2 linked regions of the Caenorhabditis elegans genome follow. The protein of the gene in region 2 purifies or fractionates together with the protein of the main gene of each other region. This does not show direct contact. Each region holds a gene or a part of one and is shown on either strand. Other genes may lie near its edges.

The links.
Region 1: the proteins of smc-3 (region 2) and evl-14 fractionate together in Caenorhabditis elegans (co-fractionation; one large-scale study listed by BioGRID). This does not show direct contact.

Annotation. Positions count from the first base shown.
Region 1 is NC_003281.10:4,309,990-4,314,831, forward strand, and holds the start of evl-14 (Cnd1 domain-containing protein), read right to left. Parts: upstream 3,140-4,842; 5' UTR 3,136-3,139; coding exon 3,052-3,135; intron 2,899-3,051; coding exon 2,686-2,898; intron 2,637-2,685; coding exon 2,544-2,636; intron 2,497-2,543; coding exon 2,170-2,496; intron 1,642-2,169; coding exon 1,390-1,641; intron 1,336-1,389; coding exon 1,217-1,335; intron 1,160-1,216; coding exon 1,062-1,159; intron 889-1,061; coding exon 743-888; intron 690-742; coding exon 346-689; intron 1-345. Other genes in the region: dcn-1 (Defective in cullin neddylation protein 1), read left to right, coding at 3,959-3,991, 4,817-4,842.
Region 2 is NC_003281.10:11,288,863-11,294,081, reverse strand, and holds the start of smc-3 (Structural maintenance of chromosomes protein 3), read right to left. Parts: upstream 3,179-5,219; 5' UTR 3,141-3,178; coding exon 3,126-3,140; intron 3,083-3,125; coding exon 2,968-3,082; intron 2,919-2,967; coding exon 2,686-2,918; intron 2,634-2,685; coding exon 2,447-2,633; intron 1,412-2,446; coding exon 1,006-1,411; intron 1-1,005. Other genes in the region: mib-1 (RING-type domain-containing protein), read left to right, coding at 3,517-3,669, 3,757-3,852, 4,246-4,590, 5,008-5,219. UniProt on the Caenorhabditis elegans protein: Involved in chromosome cohesion during cell cycle and in DNA repair. Involved in the repair of double strand breaks during mitosis and meiosis. Required for chromosome segregation during mitosis. Central component of cohesin complex.

The sequences.
Region 1 (4,842 bases), 7.0 Mb from region 2:
AAAAAAAAGTTTCAAAAATTCAAAAAAAATTTTTTAACTAAATATATAATATAAATAACTAGAAAATATCTTTAAATGTTGGCAATTTTTCTTTTTTTTTTTAGAATAAAATTTAATGTTTTCTTATGTTTTTTTCTCATCGAGATAAACAAAATTTGATGAAATATTGATTTTTTCGGATAATAGAAAAATCGAAAACTTCCTTCTTTAGGCAATTCAAAATTAATTCGGATTAGTTTTTGCAACAAAAAAAATCCCGTAAAAACCCATTTTTTCACTGTTAGAATTATTTTCGATAGTTTTAGAACGAAATTTTTTTTAGAAATTCTAAAAATATCAACGTACATGCATCCAATATCATCAAGATTTCTGAATAAATCCGCCATTAATCGAACTCTCAATTTTGGTTCAACTTTGTACGGAACAAGATATAATTGGAAATATCTTTCGATAATTGCTCTTGCATCGTGATAAGCTGGCAATCTTTGTGTCAATCTATAAACATTAAAAACTGCCGTTGAAATGAATCGAACTGATTCTTTTTCTGATTCAGTATATGATAATGTCGCTTCTTTTGAATCTTTTGGTGCACAACTTCCATCTTTTGAGAAAAATGGTTGAGGTGATGACGTCATCACATGATTATAAAGATCCATTAGACGTTTGATCGCTTGAATTCGGACTTTTGGCTGGAATTTTTAGGGTTTTCGCTTTTTTAATTAGATTTTTTAATATAAAAAACCTTTTTATCCTTCATCCGCTCGGCACAGGCCTTTAGCATTTTATCACTAATAACTTCTAATTTCGTTTTTGCCACTTCAGTAACTCCAGTTACAACATCTCGTCGAATATCGTCATTTAAATCAACGGAGAGACGTAGCAGGCTATCTGAAAATGGGGATTTTACTTTAGAAAAATTCAAAATTTTCTTGAATTTGGAAAATTTCACTAAAAAACATGAAAAAACATTTTTTAAAAAACCAACTTTCAAAACCGTGAAAATTCAATTTTAGCTTTTATCCAATATGAGAAAAAATAGTTTTTATTTCACGAAAACCTACTAATAATCTGTCCCCTGAGATGTGAATGATTCGAAATTAGAATATCTTTCGATTGTTGCACAAATTCGTGTCGAACACTATCATCTTGATCGATAGACCTGAAAAAAATCACAAAAAATTCGACAAAATAATTTAATTACAATTAAAAAACTAACGCATTCAAAAAAGCACTCCATGTTGGATCATTTGAATCCATTCCGAATTGACAATGTTTGTCACGTGTCAACATTCCAACGACTGTCACTGCTTCTTTTCGGTACTGCTCATTTTCTGACTGAAAAATGATTTGATGAGTACTCTACTAAGTTCCTTTTTTCAATTGTCCTACCTGAAGCCAAAATTTGAGTTCTTGAATAGCGCCAGACACCAAATCAAATGATACGTAGTGAAGATAACGGAGTACTTCAAAGAATTTACTTCGATTACTGGAACCAGTTAACTCGAATTCTTCTGGAAGTTTCCCTTCTTTTGCGGCTGCTGTCATTGTACTTCGAATGGAATTTGCTAAAGTGTCTGACTCATTATCACTGCAGGATCGGATGATATCTTCTGCCAGTGCACGTGCTTCTGCGAAATTGCTCTGAAATTGAAGTTTTTTGTTGGAAATATATTCTGAAAGGGTATTCTATAAGAGAATTTTTCATACTTTTCTCATAGTTTTGCATTAAAATTTTTTTTCCAAAAACTTTAAATAACGGTTTTTGAAAAATCATTCAATAATTGCAATAAATTCTAAATTCAGTTACAACCTTAAATTACGCCGTTATTTTCGTGTCGTAGTGATTAAAAGATGGTATTTTTTATGAAATTAATTGTACATTTCGCAAGTTTTTGTCGTTTATTCCTTCTGTTTTTGTTGATTCACGCACTTTTCGATCAGACGGAATCCATAATTTGAAAATTTTGAAAAAAATTTTCTTGTAGACATGAAAATATGCAAATCAACAAAATAAGCATTAGAATAAACGACAAAATACGCGGAATAGGGAAAAAAAATGATTTTTTAAAATTTTCGGCCGATTTCAAGGGACATATTCATAAATTTAAATATTCTGGGGCTATTTTTTGTTTTCAACGCTAATTCCCTATTTAATTCCACAAAACTTACTCTCTGTGGATTAATAATATGATAAAACAAAACATCAAGGCACTCGTTCTGAACAAAATCCAAATTAGTAATCACTGTCGTTGCAATTTGAATTAAAGATTTCCGAATTTTTTCGGCGGCATTCTCATCTTCTTCGTCATCATTCATTGAATCATCGTCATTTTCTTGAATTTTCAAAAGTCGCGCTTCTTTTTTCAGATTCTGATTCCATCCTTTTCCACACGGAATCGCCAGAATATCCTTGATCAACGCTCGGAACACCGGAGTTGCTTCTTTATCATCGTGATCCTTCATTTCGATGATTGGTGGAATGATTTTCTCCATTGTCTGAATATAAATAATTATTTTTTGGTGCTAGAATTTCTACAGCAAACCTCAACCAACGAGAAGTAATTTTTAAACTTCGGACTATCCTGAGTAACGTCTCCGAGTCCTCGCATGGTACGGAAAAGGTAGATATAAACCTCCTGAAACAGAAAATTTCATTAAAAATCAATAATTTACTTGAATTCTAACCTTTAAATCCATTACACTTGGCGTCGGTAGCTCTGGCTGGAAGATTCGCAGAATATTCGCGAGACAAAGTGAAAGAAGGATCCGAAAATCTGTATTTGAATTGTCAAGGAAGCATTCTTGTGATAAATGTTGGAAAAGCCTTGCGAATCGATTCGGAGACGATACTTCTTCGCTATTGTTTGTTTTGCAGTCATGGAGACAGTTAAATAGTTTCTGAAAATTATATATTTTTTTAAATAATGTTTAATCATTTCTTTTAACGTTCTTTTCATCAAAAAATAATTCATTTCTCATATTCAACTTCTTTAAAGGCATCAATTTAGATTCAAAATAAGTTGTTTTTTTGTTGAAATTTCTGAAACTCACTCGTAAGCGTTCAATTTGTTGTGTCACATTATTTGAGTTAAGAATTGGAAGACATCCTTGCGGGTAATCCACATCACCGCTCATTTTACTGAAATTGGAAGCAAAAATTCAATAAAAATTGTCGAAAAAATGGAGAAAATGGAGAAATAGAAAAGAAATTAAATTGAAAATAGTGTGAGATACTGTATTAAAGGAGCATGGGCAGTGGGAACAAACGGGTCTCGCCGAGATTTAAATGTTTCAAGCGCGCGCCAAAATTTGTTTCAAATGCTTTTTCACGCTTTCTCTCAATTTTGTATAATTATTTAAATGTTCCGCTTTTCTCAATTAAAATTGTCATGTTTTAAATTGTATATACATATTAAAATATGTAAAAAACTTTGCAATCATTGAAAATAATACAAATTCAATAAAACTTCACTTTCTGTTACAGAAAAATGTTTTTTAAATGAGCGATGCTGTAGTAAATATTATCTCTAATATATTCCTTTTCAATGGAATTCAAAATTATGTTGATTTTCTTCAGTTTTCTTTTCGAGAGACGCCGACGTTAATCGAAATCAATACGACACTCCGTTTCCCGCTAAACAAAGTGTATGACGTCACATCTGCATTACATTGCAGCGTTTTCTCGTGGTTTCCTCTATCGCTCACCATTTTATAGTTTTTCCCGTATTTTTCTATTGATTCGTTAATCGACCGCGTTGTTGTTCGTTTCTTCTTCCTTCCCTCTTCTCTTTGCGTTATTAAATTGCTTTATTTTTTGAAATTATTAACTGCATTGCTTATCAGTTTTGTTTCGAAAAGTTGTATCTTTTTTGTCGTTTAACAATTTCGAAATTACGCAGATTTAATTTTAAAATCACTAAAACAATGAATTTTCCAGGCTAACCACTACGTCTACACAATGAATCGACTGAAGTCCGATCAAAAAACAAAGGTTTGTAAACGGAAACAAGACGATGAAGTGGAGATGAGTGATATGGAAACTGATCACAAAAAGTGTAGAAAACAAGAAAACAGTAAATTTGTGCGTGTGAAAATTCCATTCGTCATCCATTCCCGTTTTTCTCTTTTTCAGCATTTATCTCGAGCAAGTTCGAGTTCTCTAGCTCAAAGCACTGTTCTTTCTGACATTTTTCCCAAGAACTACGATAATATCGTGAGTTGTAGCGGGAATTTCGAAAAAAAAACTAATTTTGCCACATCTTGCTGCTTCGTTTGTTATTTCTTGACTAGACAAATTCTAGCTCATCTAGAAAGCTGACTTTTCTCAAAATCGTTGCGAGACCCAAAGCAGAAAAATGTATCTTTTTTAAATCTACGTGGAAACGCGCTCCAATATTAAATTTCGAGGTTTTCCCGCCAAATACCTAACGAGACCCAACTTTGGCGAGCAGAGCGTTTTGCCCGCGATTTTCCTGCGTCTCTTCAAACAATCTAATCACTGCTGCTGGTTTATGAAATATCAATTTTCCTCATTTTTTAAAGCTGAGCAATGTTTTCGCTCAATCCTAAAATTTTTAGTAGTTCTAATTGTGATCAACGGTTTCCCATTTCCGATCGAAGTCACTTTTTAAATTCTCACTTTTATTGATTTTTTTCGTTTTGAAATTCCTGATTTCTTCCTTTTTAGTGATAAGACATCAGTTGCTGACTGTAGAGAAAGTGTGAGAAACTGTTAGTGAGAGAGAGAAAACAGTTTGAGAAAATGAAAAATGTTTTAAATAATGATATCATAATTATTATTTGATACCATTTCCAGCTCCGGCAGTTCGTCCAGTGGACTCA
Region 2 (5,219 bases):
AAATCAATGATAATGAAAAATTGGAATTTTTTCTTTAAATTTGTATTGATAATTTCAGCAAAATAAGCACATTTTCCAGGCTTTTCCAAGATTTTAATGAATTTTTCCAGGAATTTACTAGATTAAAAGTAGCAATTTCAGTAAAACATTCACATTTCCACTGCAACTTTTTCCTCACGAGGGACGAGGACAAGTGGTTTCTAGGCCATGGCCGAGGGGCCGACAAGTTTCAGCGGCCATTTATCTTGCTTTGTTTTCCGCCTGTTTTCTTTTGTTTTTCACAGCTTTTTCCCGTTTTTTCTTATTAAAACTGATAAATAAATATTTTTTGCAGATGCTAAAACAATTTCCAAGTGAAAAAATTATGTATTCAGTGGGCAAGCAGCGGTGAAAGTGGGCATTGTAATATGATGGATTACGGGAATACAAAACCTAAACTTTTTCTGAAACATGATACATATGCTGCTTAAATGCTGAAACTACCTGATTTTCATAACGAGACCGCTGAAAAAGTTTTGAGGTTTTCAAAATTCAACTTTTTGTACGAAAATCTCTACTTTTTCACCAAAAAAGTTGAATTTTGGAAACCTCAAAACTTTTTCAGCGGTCTCGTTATGAAAATCAGGTAGTCTCAGCATTTAAGCATCATATGTATCATGTTTCAGAAAAAGTTTAGGATTTGTATTCCCGTAATCCATCATATGACAATGCCCACTTTCACCGCTGCTTGCCCACTGAATACATGATTTTTTTACTTGGAAATTGTTTTAGCATCTGTAAAAAATTATTATTTATCAGTTTTATTAAGAAAAAACGGGAAAAATTGGTGCAAAACAAAAGAAAACACGCGGAAAACAAAGCAAGATAAATGGCCGCTGAAATTTGTCGGCCCCTCGGCCATGGCCTAGAAACCACTTTTCCTCGTCCCTCGTGAGGAAAAAGTTGCAGTGGCAATTTCATTAAAATATACGCATTTTTTTGCCAGTGATTTTCTCTCAAAAAAACCTTGTATTCTCCTCATTCAACGAGTCAATTTCAAGCTTCAACGTCATTTTCTCCTCAACCATTTTAGTTTCCTCAGCCTGAAGTGTCTCTTTATCCTCACGAAGTCCTCTTCCAAGTGATTCCAGCTTCTTCTTATCAGTTTTAAGCTTTGCCATTTCAGCAATAACATCATTCAACTGACTTTTCACATTATTATCCTTTTGATTCAGTTCAACTTTCTGTTCATCAAGCTTTGTTTTCTCTTTTATCGCTTCTTTATTTGTATTATCATACATTGTATATTCAACACTTCGCTTCGTTTTATCCAATTTCTGATATTCTTTCAAATCTTCTTTCTCGTTTTCAAGAGTTTGGAGTCGTTCGTCAATGTATTTCAGAAGGCCTTGGATTTTTTCCGTTTTCATCTCTGAAATTCAGGAAAAATCGATAAAATTTCAAGATTTGAGAATTTTTCTTCAAAAAAAAGGGTAAATTTGTGATTTTTTAAAAACATTTTTTTATGTAAAATTGCAGAAAAATCAATAAAATTCCCGATTTTGTGCACTGTTTTGTTCAAAAAAGGTTAATTTCAGATTTTTGAAACATTTTTTTTGAAAAATTTGAGAAAAATCAATTAAATTTCAGGTTTTGATAATTGTTTTTCTTCAAAAAAAAAAGGGTGAATTTTCGATTTTTTGAATTTTTTTTTGTAAAATTGCAGAAAAATCGATAAAATTTCAAGATTTGAGCATTTTTTCTTCAAAAATGTTAACTTTCTGATTTTTCAAATATTTTTTCTTGTAAAATTTGAGAAAAATCGATAAAATTTCACGTACCTATTTTCTTCGAACTATTTTCTTCGAAAAATTTCTTAAAACTCTTAAAAAGCTTTTTTTTTTTAGTTTTTTTAGCTAAATTTTTTTGAAATTTCTGAGCTTTTTGAATATTTTACCAGATAAATTTTTCGGTCGAAATACCAGATTTTGAGCACTTTTTGTCTTCAAAAATCTTCAAAAATCCAGTAAAATCGGTAAACTTCAAGCTTTTTTGAATGAAAATTTCAATAAATTCTGACATTTTCCAGAAAAACAAGCGATTTTTGTTGAAAATAGTCAAAATTTGGTGATTTTCGTAGCTTTTTGACAATTTGCAGTCATTTTTCAGATAGAAAATCAATATATAAAGGTGAATTTCCACTTTTTTGAATAAAAATGCACTAATTTTTGAGAGTTTTTTTTGAAAATAGTCGAAATATGCTGACTTTCGGAGTTTTTGGACAATTTCCAGTCATTTTTGCGCGACTTTGCAAAAGAAAACCAGAGTTTTGCTGAAAATGTGCAATTTTTGCATACTTAACACCAAAAACCATGAAAATTTGATGATTTTCCAGTCATTTTTCAGCAAAAAAAAATCATTTTTCTAACGTTTTCACCGAAAAAACAATTATTTTTCAGGTACGCACTGGTTTCCTTCAGGATTTTCAGACTTTCTTCCTTTCTTTCATCGTAAACTCGTGTTCCGGCGACTTCTCTCAGTAGCTTTAGCTTATAAGCGTCCGGCGAAGTGGCCAACTCGTTGATTTTTCCCTGTTTAACGATGTAATACGGGTTTGAGCGAGAAAATCCGGCGGATTCCATGAGATTTACCACCTGAAATTGAGGAAAAATCGATAAATCTCGAGGTTTTCCACAGCTGGAATACCTCGGCACGTGGCACCATTTTATTATCAATGTAATATTGATCCTTTTTCTTTCCAACTTGACGAACAATCTTCACTTCTGAATTTTCAAACGCCATTAGACGCTTTTCCGAGTTGTCAAAGGTGATTTCGACACGAGCGTGGGCGACTTTCGGTCCGGTACTCTCGTGAAGCAGACCAAGACGTTGTTCTTCTTTCAAATGAGCATATTCATCGGAAAGAACGAATTGAATCGCTGAAAATTGACATTTTTCAGCTTTTCCGCAGAAATTCATGCGGCTAACCATGGAAAAAATTGGATTTTCCCGATCCATTTCGTCCGACGACGACGTTCGAGCGTGGACTGAAGCCCGACACATTGGTGTTGTCTTTGTAGCTTCGAAAGCCGGTGATTCTCACCTGAAAATAGGGAAAAATCGATGAAAAACTTGGGAAAACTCACTTCTTTGATCTTCATCGGTTTATTGCATCAAGTGATGGGATGTTGACTGAAACATCGATAATATAGATGAGAAAATCGCAGAATTTAAGTCAAAAAAAACTTTTTGAATGAGGAAAATCGATGGAAATCGCAAAAAACACTGAAAATCAGCAAAAATAAATTTCAAATTCAAAGCGAAGAATTCGCGGGCGCGACCCGGGACTAGAAATCCCCACTCGGCCACCCGGTGTGTACTCCTCTCGGACAAGGATATTTCGAAAAATGAGGGTTTTTCCAAATAAAAACGTGTTATTCTCGGAAAAATACTAGAAAACCACGGAAAAACGTGTCTAAAACAAAAAACTAAAGCAGAATAACAAAAAATTATTTATTTCAATTATTTCTCACAAAAATGAACGGAGTAGCTGGCGAATCGCCGAGCTACGACGAGTACCTGACGTATTTCACACCGGGCGATCGAATTCTGATATCGGAAAATCATCCAAATCATGCACAACGCCTCAATTCGTACAATAATGTTGCGTGGACGAAGACACATTTGGCTGTGAGTGGCAGAAAAGAAAAAAATGCTGAAATCTGAAATTTTTTGCTGAGAATCTCTTCAAAACAGGCAAATCTTCAACATTTTCAGCTTCTCGGTCACATTGGCTATATCGAGAGCATCAACGAGCACCGGCACACTGCAAATGTTCGGGTTTACTACGCAGTTCCGCAAAATCCAGAGCTTGTAAGCTGATTTTTTGAAGATTTTGTGTAAAATGTGTGATTTTTCGGAATCTAGCGATCTTTTTTGTACTTTTTTCCATTGAAAATCGGAAAAAAAAAGTTTAAATTGCTTGGATACTACCGTAATCGTTTAAAGGCGCACACATTTTTACTGATCGCGCCAGGAGAAGTATTGCGAAAGTGGCGTGCGTCTTTAAAAGGCTACTGTAATTTTTGATTTTCAATATCGAATTTTTAAATGAAAATTGGTTGATAACGGTACAGAAACTGAAATCTTCATTGAAGATACTTAAAACTTTTCCTGAATTTTTTTGATTTCAAGCTTTCAGAGGTAACACTGAAAAAAGAGCCTTTTTCCGAATTTTTCATCCCAAATTTAAATTTAAATTTTCAGTTCAAGCTCTCTACCGAATGGCCGCTGGACGCGTTGGAATTCCCTCAATGTATAGATCATTCAAAAGGTGATCTCGTTGCAATAACCCGCGGAGATCCGGAAAAAACGACAATCGGAATAGTGGCAACGAAGGAACCATTGAATTTAGGTGGAATTCCGAAGCATTTGGTTCAACTGAAAAGCGCCTCGAATCCGACGATTACCCGGGAGATTCAGGTGGCGGTTAATGCGAATACGGGATGGACTGATGAGAGACGGGATATCTTTTTGTGTCCGGTTTATTCGGGTCCCCGATTGTCAATGATTGCTAGAGATAATAATGAGCCGTCGGTTCATACTTATAAGGTAGGTAACTTCAGGCATGTCTGCCTCCAAAACTGCCTGCCTACACGCTTATCTGATTATGTGCCTACCTAGTTGCCTACTATCGCAATAGCCTGTCAAATTGTTGTCTGATGCTGAAAATGCCTGAAAATGCGTCCGCATAAAGCTTGTCTGTCTACATATTTGCCTGATTGTTCATAGGTAAGCTTACAAACCTACATACCTACATGCCTACTTGCCTACACGCCTGCCTCCGCGACTACCTGCTTGTTTTTTTCCTGCCTTCCTACATGTTTGCCTGAAAATGCGTCTGCATAAAGCCTGTCTGTCTACATATTTGCCTGCTGGTCCATAGGTCAGCTTACATGCCTACATGCCTACCTGCCTATCTGCCTACCTACCTACATGCCTACCTGAAAGATAAATCGATTTTTTCAGCACACAATCCACGGCTACACCCCGGACACCTTAATGCAAGTGATCGCGAATTGGGGTGAAGACGCGCTGAGCTATGCGCTTCTCGTCGAATCGATCCGATCGGATCCGCAACAAGTTCGGACCCTTTTCGACGGTCAACTGCCACTTTTCCGTGCTGTCGCCGATGATCTACGGAATGTTGTTGTGATGCTTGTCGCGTTGGGTGCAGATAG